2 linked regions of the Drosophila melanogaster genome follow. The protein of the gene in region 1 interacts with the protein of each later gene in a pairwise test. Each region holds a gene or a part of one and is shown on either strand. Other genes may lie near its edges.

What was found.
Region 2: the proteins of ebd1 (region 1) and CRAT interact in a two-hybrid assay, tested with the Drosophila melanogaster proteins (one large-scale study listed by BioGRID).

The regions. Positions count from the first base shown.
Region 1 is NT_037436.4:681,865-687,510, forward strand, and holds ebd1 (earthbound 1), read right to left. Parts: upstream 3,686-5,646; 5' UTR 3,284-3,685; coding exon 3,164-3,283; intron 2,828-3,163; coding exon 1,202-2,827; 3' UTR 1,021-1,201; downstream 1-1,020. Other genes in the region: hiro (highroad), read right to left, coding at 4,127-4,422, 4,478-4,663, 4,717-5,508.
Region 2 is NT_033777.3:6,370,102-6,375,534, forward strand, and holds CRAT (carnitine O-Acetyl-Transferase), read right to left. Parts: upstream 3,925-5,433; 5' UTR 3,745-3,924; coding exon 3,713-3,744; intron 3,474-3,712; exon of another isoform or gene 3,376-3,473; coding exon of another isoform or gene 3,359-3,375; intron 3,280-3,358; coding exon 3,201-3,279; intron 3,136-3,200; coding exon 2,069-3,135; intron 2,006-2,068; coding exon 1,757-2,005; intron 1,698-1,756; coding exon 1,136-1,697; 3' UTR 925-1,135; downstream 1-924. Other genes in the region: CG10286 (uncharacterized protein), read left to right, coding at 1-793; CG42564 (uncharacterized protein), read left to right, coding at 4,378-4,599, 4,919-5,313.

The DNA of each region.
Region 1 (5,646 bases):
TTGTTCAAGCCAATCAGCTGTTGTTGATTACAGTTGGCCAGAGTTGCCACTTCTAGCGTCTAGTGTTGGTAAACACCTCACATACTCCCACTGATTGTTGTAGTTGCTCTGGATCTGGATGCTCATATATGTATAAACTTATTTCCACCACCTGACGACCGGCGTTATGCTCTCCTCAAGCGACAATCACAAACTGAATTGATGTAGAGCCGAAACGGGCGGGTGTGTGTGCATGTGTCTCGATTGAGTGATTGATTAGCCGACTGACCCGATGGGCATGTGCATGTGTGCGTGTGGAAATGCACAATAAATCATTTGATTCCCACATACTGCTTGAAAACAAAAACGTAGCTGAATCCGATTTTCTTATTGTATTAGTTTTAATTATATGGATTAAACAATGACTTACAGCTCCCCCGCAATTTAGGTGCACGTGTGTGCGGGAGAGGAAAGCAGCAAATATTCAGACTTTAACTAAGGGCAGACCTGCGCACTTACCCATCTTAGCCCCAATCAAGATTGTCGGCATAAGGAAATCATCAGCAAAGTATGAATTTATTTTAACTCGCTCTCCAAAATTTCACACTGATCAGGGAAAATTTTAAAATACACTCTGAATCAGGGAAATTCTCTCTTTAACAAGATAGAATTCAATGATTGACCTCTTTGTTCCGTTATTTTCATTTACATGCGCTTTGTCTCTTTCTCTCTTCTGGCTCGCCTGTGTGTGTGTGTGTGGGTGACCTCCCGCCCGGCAAAAAAAGAAGAAGAAGCCCAACTAAGGGCAGACATGCGCACTTCGAAAAAAAAACAATTAGCGCGTATATTTAGCCGACTTTTTGTTCTGGCGAGAATGTGTGGAAGGAAATGTAGCTGTTATAACATACAACACAGGTCAAAATAATAGGGTTACAGTCGGGAGCATAGTATAAAATAGTTCCAACAGACCAATTGACAATTGACATTAGCTCATTCATCACAATATTTTATAACCACATCAAATTTACTCACTAGAAACTTGGTTTGATTGCGTTTATTTGGTTCGAATACAAATTATGTTCACCTTAGATCTAATGATTGATTGCATCCGACCGATGTGCATCTTCTAGATGCATCAGTTTGCAAAGATTACACTCTTTGGCTGCAGCTATTCCTCCTCCTCTTCGTTCTCCTTCATGTGGCGCTCACTGTTTGGAGCATTCTACGGCACATTGTCATCCATTTCGCGCATCACTTCATCGGCTCGTGTGATCAGCTCAATCAGCCGGTAGTTCTCCTTGTACAGAGCAAACTCCTCGAGTAGCTTTAGGTACTTGCGTGCATCGGCGCAGCTGATGACACTGGACCCACTTTCTTGGCCGGATCCCCCATTGTTGTTATCGTCTTGGGCGGACTCATAGCGACGTTTGGTGCCCTGGCGAGGATTCAGCGAGTTTTCAACTGCCGCAGGCGAACTCACCTTTCGCTGCCGCATCTGCTCGATGTACTCCATCTCGTCCTCCACATTGGCCGCCAGAACCTCGGCCAGCGAGGTGACACTGGAGCGACCATTGTTCGCGTCTTCATCGAGATCCGCTGGGTCTTGGTCCAGTTCCGATTCCAGCTCAGCCTCTGGCTCCACTTTTATGTGCACTGTAGGCGGAATTTCAAGATCCTTTTCCCTTTGTGCTCGGTCATCGTTCTCCTGGAGCTCCGCCTCGGGCTGCTTCGCCAGGAGCTCTTCCGGGTCCTTGGGCTCCACTTTGATTTCCTTTTCCTGCTTGATCTCTAGTTTGGGCGGCGGTACCACCGGTCCTTTGTCCTGCTGCTGTGGGGCAGGAATCTTGGTGATGCTCTGAGCGAGCGTGGCTAGTGGTATGATGGTCATGGTCATGGGCTGTCCGCCCGCTTGCGTCGGAACAATGGGTGTGGCCAGGAGAACTTTTTGAGTGGTGCCTGGCGGTGTGTTAGCTTGGAGGGGCAGTCTAACTAGAGGCGGCAAGGGCTTCAGAGCCCTGGCAAAATTTAGTTCGCTTAGTGAGGGCTTGACATCAGGCTCCTCCTCCAGATCATCCTCGCCGCTAATACCGCCACCGTCGACATCCACCTCGTCATCCTCGTCTTCTACATAGCTGCGGGGATGGCTGCTCACCGGGCTGCCCAAGCTGACCTCTTCGTCATCCTCCTCGCCGTTCCGTGGCCCACTTTCCGGCATGCTTTCCGACATGACGTCCTTGACGATGTCCTTGATCTGCACCGAGTAGCCCTGCGTGTAGCCTATCTTCAACAGTCTGGTGTCGCTGTGTTGGATGCTGTAGGTGCGTCTGAACTTGTCGCACCACTCCTGGTGCGGAAAGAAATGTGCCAGGTTCATGGAGCTCTTGAACTGCAGCGCCATCTTCTGGATGAGTCCGTCGGAGATGCTGAAGTCCTTGTAGTACATCATGCGGCGTATCCAATCGTACACGGCCTTGCCCAACATCGAGACCCTGACGGTCTTCGTCTCCATGGTCTTGGCGTCCTGGCTCCTGCGGGTTCGCTGATCCCACGCGTTCAGAATCTCAGCGCGCTGCTGCACGATCCGCTTGATCTGATCTGGGCTGCAGTTGAACAGCCGGCCAACGTGCTTATAAACCGGCAGCCGATCGTATTCCCGCAGAGCAGCAACCTTTTCGTTGAGGGCCAGGACATTCTTGCGCTTGATGCGATTGTCGAAGGCCACCTTCTCGGCGGCCGGCAGGCTGGGGGTGTGCGTGCTAGTGGGTGTGGGTGATGCAGTCGAAGTGGGTGCTGCTGGTGGAGCAGGCGCAGGCGCAGGAGCTGGTGTGAGAACCTCCGTGTCAGTGGCCTAACGACGAAGGGAAAAAAAGTGCTGTTATTACCGGGTTTTATGGTAACAGTTGAAATCGTGCAAAGTAATGCCACCATGAATGTAGAGATACAGTGCTCCCTCTGAACATGAATAATGTAGACAAAACAACAGAAGGTCTTTGCATATTTAGTTATGTTAACAAAAGCAACAGTTAAGAAAGACGAAGTTTCAAGGAATACATGGGGCTTTTATACTCATACTCATTCAAGCTTATATACAAATAAACGCCTAGATCAAGTCATTTACACTCGTGTTCTTTGAGAAGTGAAATGGGGTGGAAACACTTTGCGAGGCTTGACTGTGGCCACTTACCTTCGCCTTGTTGTTGTTGTCCTGCGTCTTGGAGGCCTCCTTGTGCTCCTTTTTCTCCCTCTCCACGCGCTTCTCCACCCTCAGCTCCCTCTGCAACTTGCGTTTTTCGCGTATCCGCATTGTTTGTGCTTTCCGTGCAATTTACACGGCAATTGCCGTTTGTTTTCGTCTTGTTTGTTTTTGTTGCTGCTGCTGCGCCCACTCAATTTCGCCCACCCCTTGCACCCTTTCTGCTCTCTCACTCACACACCCGCCCGCCTGTGTGTGTGTGTCCGTGCGGCTGTGTGTGTGCGATGGCTACGATTATGCGCGTTGACTGTCAAGCGAATTCAAATCATTTCGTCACTGCTTTTCTCGCTTTTCTTTGGCCTTTCAATGCGCTTTGGCTCTATTCGCTTTCGTTTTCTCTTCCTAGGCACTCGATTTGTCTTCTGATTGTGATTTTCCAACTGGCCGTGCGCTGCACCTTGCGTATTTTCCGATGTCCGTGCGAACTAGACGACGACCCATACAAAAATAGCTGCCGCGTTATCTCGCGCAGTTTTCATTCTCTGCTCGCTCCCTCTCTCGCTCTCGCATGCGCAACGTGGGCAACTAGAACGGAAGGGAAGTCGGCGTGTGCGAGAGTGTGTGTGCGTGTGACCAGCTGAGAGGGTGCAACTGCGCATGCGACAACTTTACTGTTACTTTCGCCATGTGGCAACTCTGCAGGCGATCGCTTTTTAAGTAGAGTAAGATTAATGAGAACATACATATGTATGTATGTATTTTGTTTTCAGTTTAAGAATGAATTGATTTCACAAGATCTGCAACTAACTGCACTGTAAAATATAACTATAAAGTCTTTGCGAATTGTAATCAATATTTAATTTAAATTAATCGAACCACCACCAATTGGAAACCCACGAGTCCATACATTTCGAAAATAATCTTTATTTTAACGCTTTTCTCCGGCTAATTTGTTTAACCGAATTTGGTGAAGTGTCGCAGGATGTGCGACATGGCCGCGGGATTATCGGCAGGAACCATGTGACCAGCCCGGTTGACCCAAAACATGCTGAAGTTGCCATAGGTCTTCTCGTAACCCTCGAGAACTCGATCTACGGTGATTCCCACGCGCGGAGAGACCTGGTAAGATGGCTTGGCGGACCATTCCATTGCTTCGATCCAGTTGACGGCTCCCGGAGTGGCGCAAATCAGGTCCAGTCCTCCGGAGAACACGCCCACTTTTACGGTGGTGTTGTTCAGCAGTTCACCCACTAAAAGTGTCATAAGGCTATAATTTGAGGTAGCACCCAGACGGTTGAAACATACCAACATCCACAGCTGGCTTCATGAAATCGCCCATCAGCTTGGTGAAGGTGGTGCCGCTCTGGGCGCCCCATTTCACTCCGGTGTTGATTCCGAGGGCCTCGGTCACGGGTCCAAGCATTAGATCCTCCAGCAATTTGTCGCGGTCCTCATCCACATCGAATTTCACGAGGGTGCGATACATGACCTCTGGATAAGTGGTTGATGAGAATCAGCTCGGTAAGTTACGCAACGGATCTTACCCTCCGGAGTCATGGCAGCTCTGGACATCAACCTGTACTGATCACCCAATGTTGGGGTCTCCACGTTATAGAAGTCCACTCCCTTGGACTCGCGCAGCACCACTGACTGGGTGGAGCTCCACTGCAAAGTGGCCTGTGTCCACTTCTCGCGGTCAACATAGTCCTTAGTCTTCAGGGCCGAAGCTTCAATCTTGTCATGGCCATCCTGATCCACGATTCCCAACTGCAGCAGGAAGGGAGCCCACGAGAGCACAGAGTCTATGGGTGAGGTCCAGGGATCTCCCAAGGCCACCGAAACAAAGTTGCTCTCGATCTCACCGCGCTTGATGGCGTAATCCAACTCCAAAGCGAACTCCGGGGCCATCTTTCCGCCATAACTCTCGCAGAAGATGTGCAGCGGCACAGTCTTGAATTCCGGGTGGTTTGTGTAGAAGCCCTTCATCAGCTCAACGAGATCCAGGGCGATCTGCTTGTTGTTGGTCGTGTAGTAAGAAGATCCGTCCACGTAGCTGAAACCACTGCCCACGGGATTGTCGATGAACATCACGTTCATGTCCTTCACCCAAGTCCAGTCGCGGTAGCTGCCGTCGAGCTTCAGGGGACCCAACTCCTCAAAGTTTCCGTATCCCGTTGAGGAGGCACCTGGACCTCCTTGGAGCCAAATGGCCAGCGGACGCTCCGTGTAACTGGAGACATTGGCGGTGGTGTAGTACAGCCAGTAGAACATGTGGGCGCCAGTCCTGACATCCACAAATCCCCAATCCTGATCACCGGGTCCATAGCCCTTGCGTGCTGAGAGTATATTGAATTATAGCTCATTTCGATTAAATAGTTATTAATATACAAAGCTCTTTGATTTTGTAATTTCATGATAGCCCCTGATTTCTAGGGAACACTTGAGAAATCTAGCCTTTAAGTATATTAAACGGC
Region 2 (5,433 bases), on another chromosome or scaffold:
CATGGAGGACGAGACAGCTGACAGTGGATCGGGGGGACTGCCCGCCAACTTCTTGGAGACTATCAAACAAAACAAAGTGATCGAGAAACTATGGCAAAAGGCTCAACCACTGCAACCTGCTGTGGAAAATCTTGTGTCCCAGCAAGAGAATATCAAGGAGAAAGTGGAAAAATTAAGAGTATCATACTTGATTTGCCTCCAGAACCTATGCAATGTGCTGCCCCCTGAAGATTTGGGGGGCTGCAGCAACCTCTATAACATGTGGATGATCTTGGGTCAACAAGCATTTAGGGGAAGTGAAGATGTATCCGTTATGGAGGCCATTACGTCACTAATGCGCTCCTCGCTGAGTTTGCTCAAGTCTCGCAAGGATCTTTTCGGCCAGATGACCGAGAATGATCTCAACATGATTATCGAGGGCGCTAGCAAGTGCACAGATATAAATATTCGCGTTAACTGGAACCGCATGCTGGGTACGCTGGGTTCTCTGCTCTCAGAGCCCCTGGTTAAGGCAATAGTGCTCTTCCTATTGACTTACTGTGCCCAGGAAGATGACCTGTGGGCCCTGTCTGAAGGACTAGATGCACTAATGGACATTTTCGCAGTGGACGACTGGCCGCAGATCATCGCGGAGTTGGAGATGTGCGATCGTGTCCAGGCACTAGAGGAGTTGTTCAAGTCTAAACTGCGGCAGCAGCGACGGGAGCTAAAGGAGCGACGAGCCACAGTGCAAACAGTGAAGACTAATTTTTCACGCTTTGTTTTTTATCTTAATAAGAACTGTAAAAAATAAATTAACATGACCACTAATTAAAGCTATTGTCTAGTTTCAGAGAACAATACTTTTAGTTCTTAAGCATGCCAAAATATTTGTCGACGATAATAGAAACAGAAAAAATCTGTTAAATTTGTAACTTCCTAATTGTCATGTCTTTTGTATTTATTAATATTCGACTAACAAGTTTTCCACTTAAAAAAGCGTTAATAGATCGATTGATTCCATAGCTAAAATGTAAAGCATATTTAGTTTTCAAGTGCAGCAAGTGTTTGTCCATTCTAGTCCAAATCCTTTCATCTGTTAAATCAAGTCCTTCAAAGTTTGATCCCTGCTAAATTTTATTATTCTGGTACATTTTTACAACTTCGACTTAGTCTCAGGCGGGTTCTTCTCGAGAACATTCTTCATTTCGAAAAAGGATTGCTCGAGGGTCTTAACGAACTTCAAGTGATCCGTTATTGGGCAATGGCGCCAAGCGGATATGGCCAATATGATGTCATTATCCCGAGGATTATAGCAGCATGCATAACCATCGTCAGTCGCCGGGCCGTATCCCATGAAAGCATCGTATTTAGTGGCTACCTGTGAGGTGGACATGCGGAAGTGACTGGACTTAACAAAGCCCGGCGACTTGAAGAACTCGGGAATTGGCTTGCTGTGCTCCAGAGCCATCAGCTTCAGTCCAAGCAGGTGACGATCCACACCCTTTCCCTGAAGAGCCAGCTTAGCATACGTCTGATGAGACACTACTGCCTCACGAAGCTTGGCGGCGCGTTCCTGATCGGTAACGTTTGGGTCCTGCATAGCGCGGGAAAAGGCCAGGGATTCGTTGGAGCAAGAGCGTATAGTTTCGGTTCGTCCGCCGTCGAATATGCGCAAGTGCGCCGACTCATATTGCGCAGGTGGTTCCGAGTGCATTCTGCAAAACGTAAATGTATTCGGCTATATTGAAAATCTGTAGGAAGATCATCTAGTTACTTGTAGAAGGCGAGCTGCAGCGCCATCTGAACAAAGCTGTCCGGACCCAGACGCTGTTTCTTTATGAAATCCTTTCCAAAGCCGTTGAATTTCAGAACCTTCATTTGGAGAGCATCGGCAAGTTTATCCACGTTTTCCTGGGCGACGTTCAAAGATTTCTCTAGACTTTTATTGCTCGAAGAGAACTGTATTTTCTGTGCAGGAGCAAAGTCCTGTGAGCCAGATTGCCCGAAGCTAGGGTCTTCCTTCCTAAAATAATATAAATTATAAATATAAAGTTGTTTTTAACCACATGCGCCCTATTCAACTTACATCTTTTGCACCACGTAGTCCATCATCATCGCAATGGGCTGGCCCTCAGCCGGCGAGTGCTCATAAGTGAATCCGACGTTTCCATTGGGGTTTACCACCAGCTGAATAGTCTTGTCCATCCAACGGTTGCCGCTGTTTATCTTGCTGCCACTGCCATGGATCAGCGATAGGATAAGTTCGTCGGTCTCTTCGCCTTCCTTTAGGATAGTACCCTCATCGAGTGAGACGGTGAACAGAGCACCCTGAATGGTCTTGAGGGCATCCCGGTTGCCAGGAGTCTCAACCAGATATTCGTAGGCCTCCGCCCAATTGTCCCTGGAGTCGGTGGTCAGAATACCATAAGGAACTCCCACTTGCGTTTCCTTCAAGACGATATTCTCGAGTTGAGCAGCTAGACATGGTGCAGCAATGAGCTTTCCCTCCTTACTGTATATCTTCAGTTGGTAGAAGTGATTCTTGTAGATCACCACCACATAATCGGAGTCGGGATTGTACACGATCTCGTCGGTGCCCCTTCTGGGAATCCGACATGTGCCGAATACCTTGCCAAACTGGCTGTTGTCCAGCTCGTTCTTGCCCATTTTAACGATCGGAATTTTGTTGGCGTGCACCATGTCGTTGAATTCTCCCAGTCCATAGATAACCCTGGCGGTATAGTCCACGAAAGCACGTGAGTCCCTGAAGTTTTGCTTGGGAAAGGTCATGCCAGGACTCACGAACACGGTGACTGGATCTCGATAGGTCAAATAGGCAGCCTTCAGCCAGCGGTGGGCCAGCCAATTCTTCTCCTTGCTGCCGGTTTCTTCCAGGAGCAGCTGCAGTTCGCGTCCCTGCTTTTTTAAAAACTCGGAGGTGATTCCCTTTTGCCGTTGAAACTCCTCAGGCGTCAGGAGAGGTTCCACAGTGGTCATGAAGCGGTTCAGCGTTTCCTCCAGCGGCAGGACGTGGTACTTCAGCAGATTCGGCTGCTCCAAGGGAATGGTCTTCTGGACGGTGCTGTAGCTGCTAGCGGGCAGCACTTTCTTGGCGATCCCATTTGGAGACTGCTGGGCCAAGGAGTTCTTGGTCTGGAAATCGAATGGGATACAGATTACCGAACGGAGAATCACAAGCATTCCATATGGAGCACTACCAAATTCCACAAAAGCTTTCCATTGCCACGGAACTTCATCTCGGCTTCGGTTTTCTCGAGGATTCGCTCAGACGTTGGGCTGCAAAACGGAGAAATGGTATTCGAGTGTTACTTTAAAGTCCAACCACCGGTTGGTGTGCCTGTGGCACTGAATTAACCTTTGATATTTGTACATAATCTACTTCTAGCTATAAGGAGCGATAAACTAATGGCTCACGATTAGCAGCCAGCGGAGGAGGCAAGTGCAAGCAAAACGGCAGTTGCCAATCAACTGGCCATCGAAAGAGCAGTCCACGTAGGCAGAAGGGTGGGAGTGGAGTGGAGCCCAACTTAAATGCTATCAGCGACCGGTTTATTTACTTTCGCTCTCCCAAGAGTGCGTCTCTTAATATCCATACCATACCAGCGAAATACACGATGATTACCATCTAGATATATAACCACTTTTTATATAATCCTTAACTGGTTCGACTGTCCTTGCCCATCAGTTCAAATAAAGAATTTAAGTTTACCTCACTCTTGTTTTGCTCCGGTTAATTAACATCTATAGATTCTATATAAACATATATGTTTATATATGTTTGTATGTTCAAATCAAAACAAGAAACAGCTGTTGTCAAACAGCAACAAGTAAATAAGCACTCCCTGTTGTTGGTTTAACTGTGCTATCAATAATGGATAACAATCGATTAAAATCACAAGCAATTCCAAAACTTCTTTAAAGCTAATATTTAGAAAACAAGCAATACTATTAGTATGCAATATATGTTCATGATAAGCTAGCGTACGTTTTGTGAATAATATCGATGAATTCCCAGCTCTAGTATTCATAAAAAACTAGGGGGGTTCTTTGCAGAAAAATTACTTTAGTAAATTTTCGGCACGAATGATAATCTCAAAACGTTAATATTATTAAGTAGAATAACGTGAACTTTTAAGATTTCAATTTTTTTTTTTTGGAAATCCAAAATTAAGCTTTAAAAAACTTTGCCCAATAATTTGTTCCGGCTTTTTATGAGACGAACCAAACTATCAATATAATGTTTAATCTGCTAAAAATTCTACCATTGGTTTTGCTGTATCATTTGATCTTTGCAAATTGTGATTTCACAGTCCGAACCGTTTGATCTACGTTTTGAAAAACTAACGTTAATACGCCACGGTCTCTGGATGAAAAATGTTGGCCCTTGTCGTTTTTCTGATTGCCAGTTGTTTGACCATTCAAACGGCAGCCACTACGACACCAAGTCCAGCGGTCACCGAAGCTGGTCACCCATCTCCTGGAGGTTCGCAAGGTCAAGAGGAGCCAGGAAACAGCTCCTCAACGGAACTACCGGACTACTGCGATCCCTCCTTGTGCCACAAAGAACTCAAACATGTGGCTTGCAACGCATCAATCGTAAGTTACTAAACTAAAATGTGTGCCACGTGATAACAACCAACTAATTCAAATTAACAAAACAACATTTTTTGTTCGCATACACTATATAAGGTATAAATGGTTGAAAGAAAGCCAAATATAAATTAATTTAGGACTTTTTCAAATTTTCAATGTCATAAAATTTGTTGATAAAATTGATTAGTGACGAATATTAATTTCGAATTGATTGGCTTTTGAGAGGTATACCTTCGTTACAAAATGTCATACTAAAAGTTCTGGGTTATTTTTGTTTCCAAAATGCGTTACTATCCTAACTTGTTACCAATAATATCTTCAGGAACTGCACGACAAGTGCTCTCTGGACGCTGAGCTCATAGTGATAAGCCCAAAGGTGGAAAGATTCCTATTAAGGCGATTTAATGAGTTGAGGGATAGCGTGGCCAAAGGAGGGTTCAACGGACTGAGTCCTGCCAGTCGGATGGGCACCTTGAAGTGGAACCCGGAACTGGCCTACCTAGCTGAATTCAATGTGAGGGATTGTGTCCTGAGGCACGACGAGTGCCGGAACACGAAGTTCACGCAAAACGCTGGCCAGACGGTTGGGTATCGAGGCATTAAAGGAAAATTGCCAGAGTTGGAGGATATCCTTAGGGATATCATAGGGGTGTGGTTGCGGGAAAAATCCAGAACTTCGATGGTGAACATCATGAAGTATGTCGAGCAGGAATCTCAGTGAGTACCACTTAAGGAATATATAGGGTTGTTTACTCGGGCGTCCTTACGGGATTTGGTAAATATTTCAACCTGAAATGATTATTATTTATTTTTTAATATTTTGTAATCCTTTCTAAA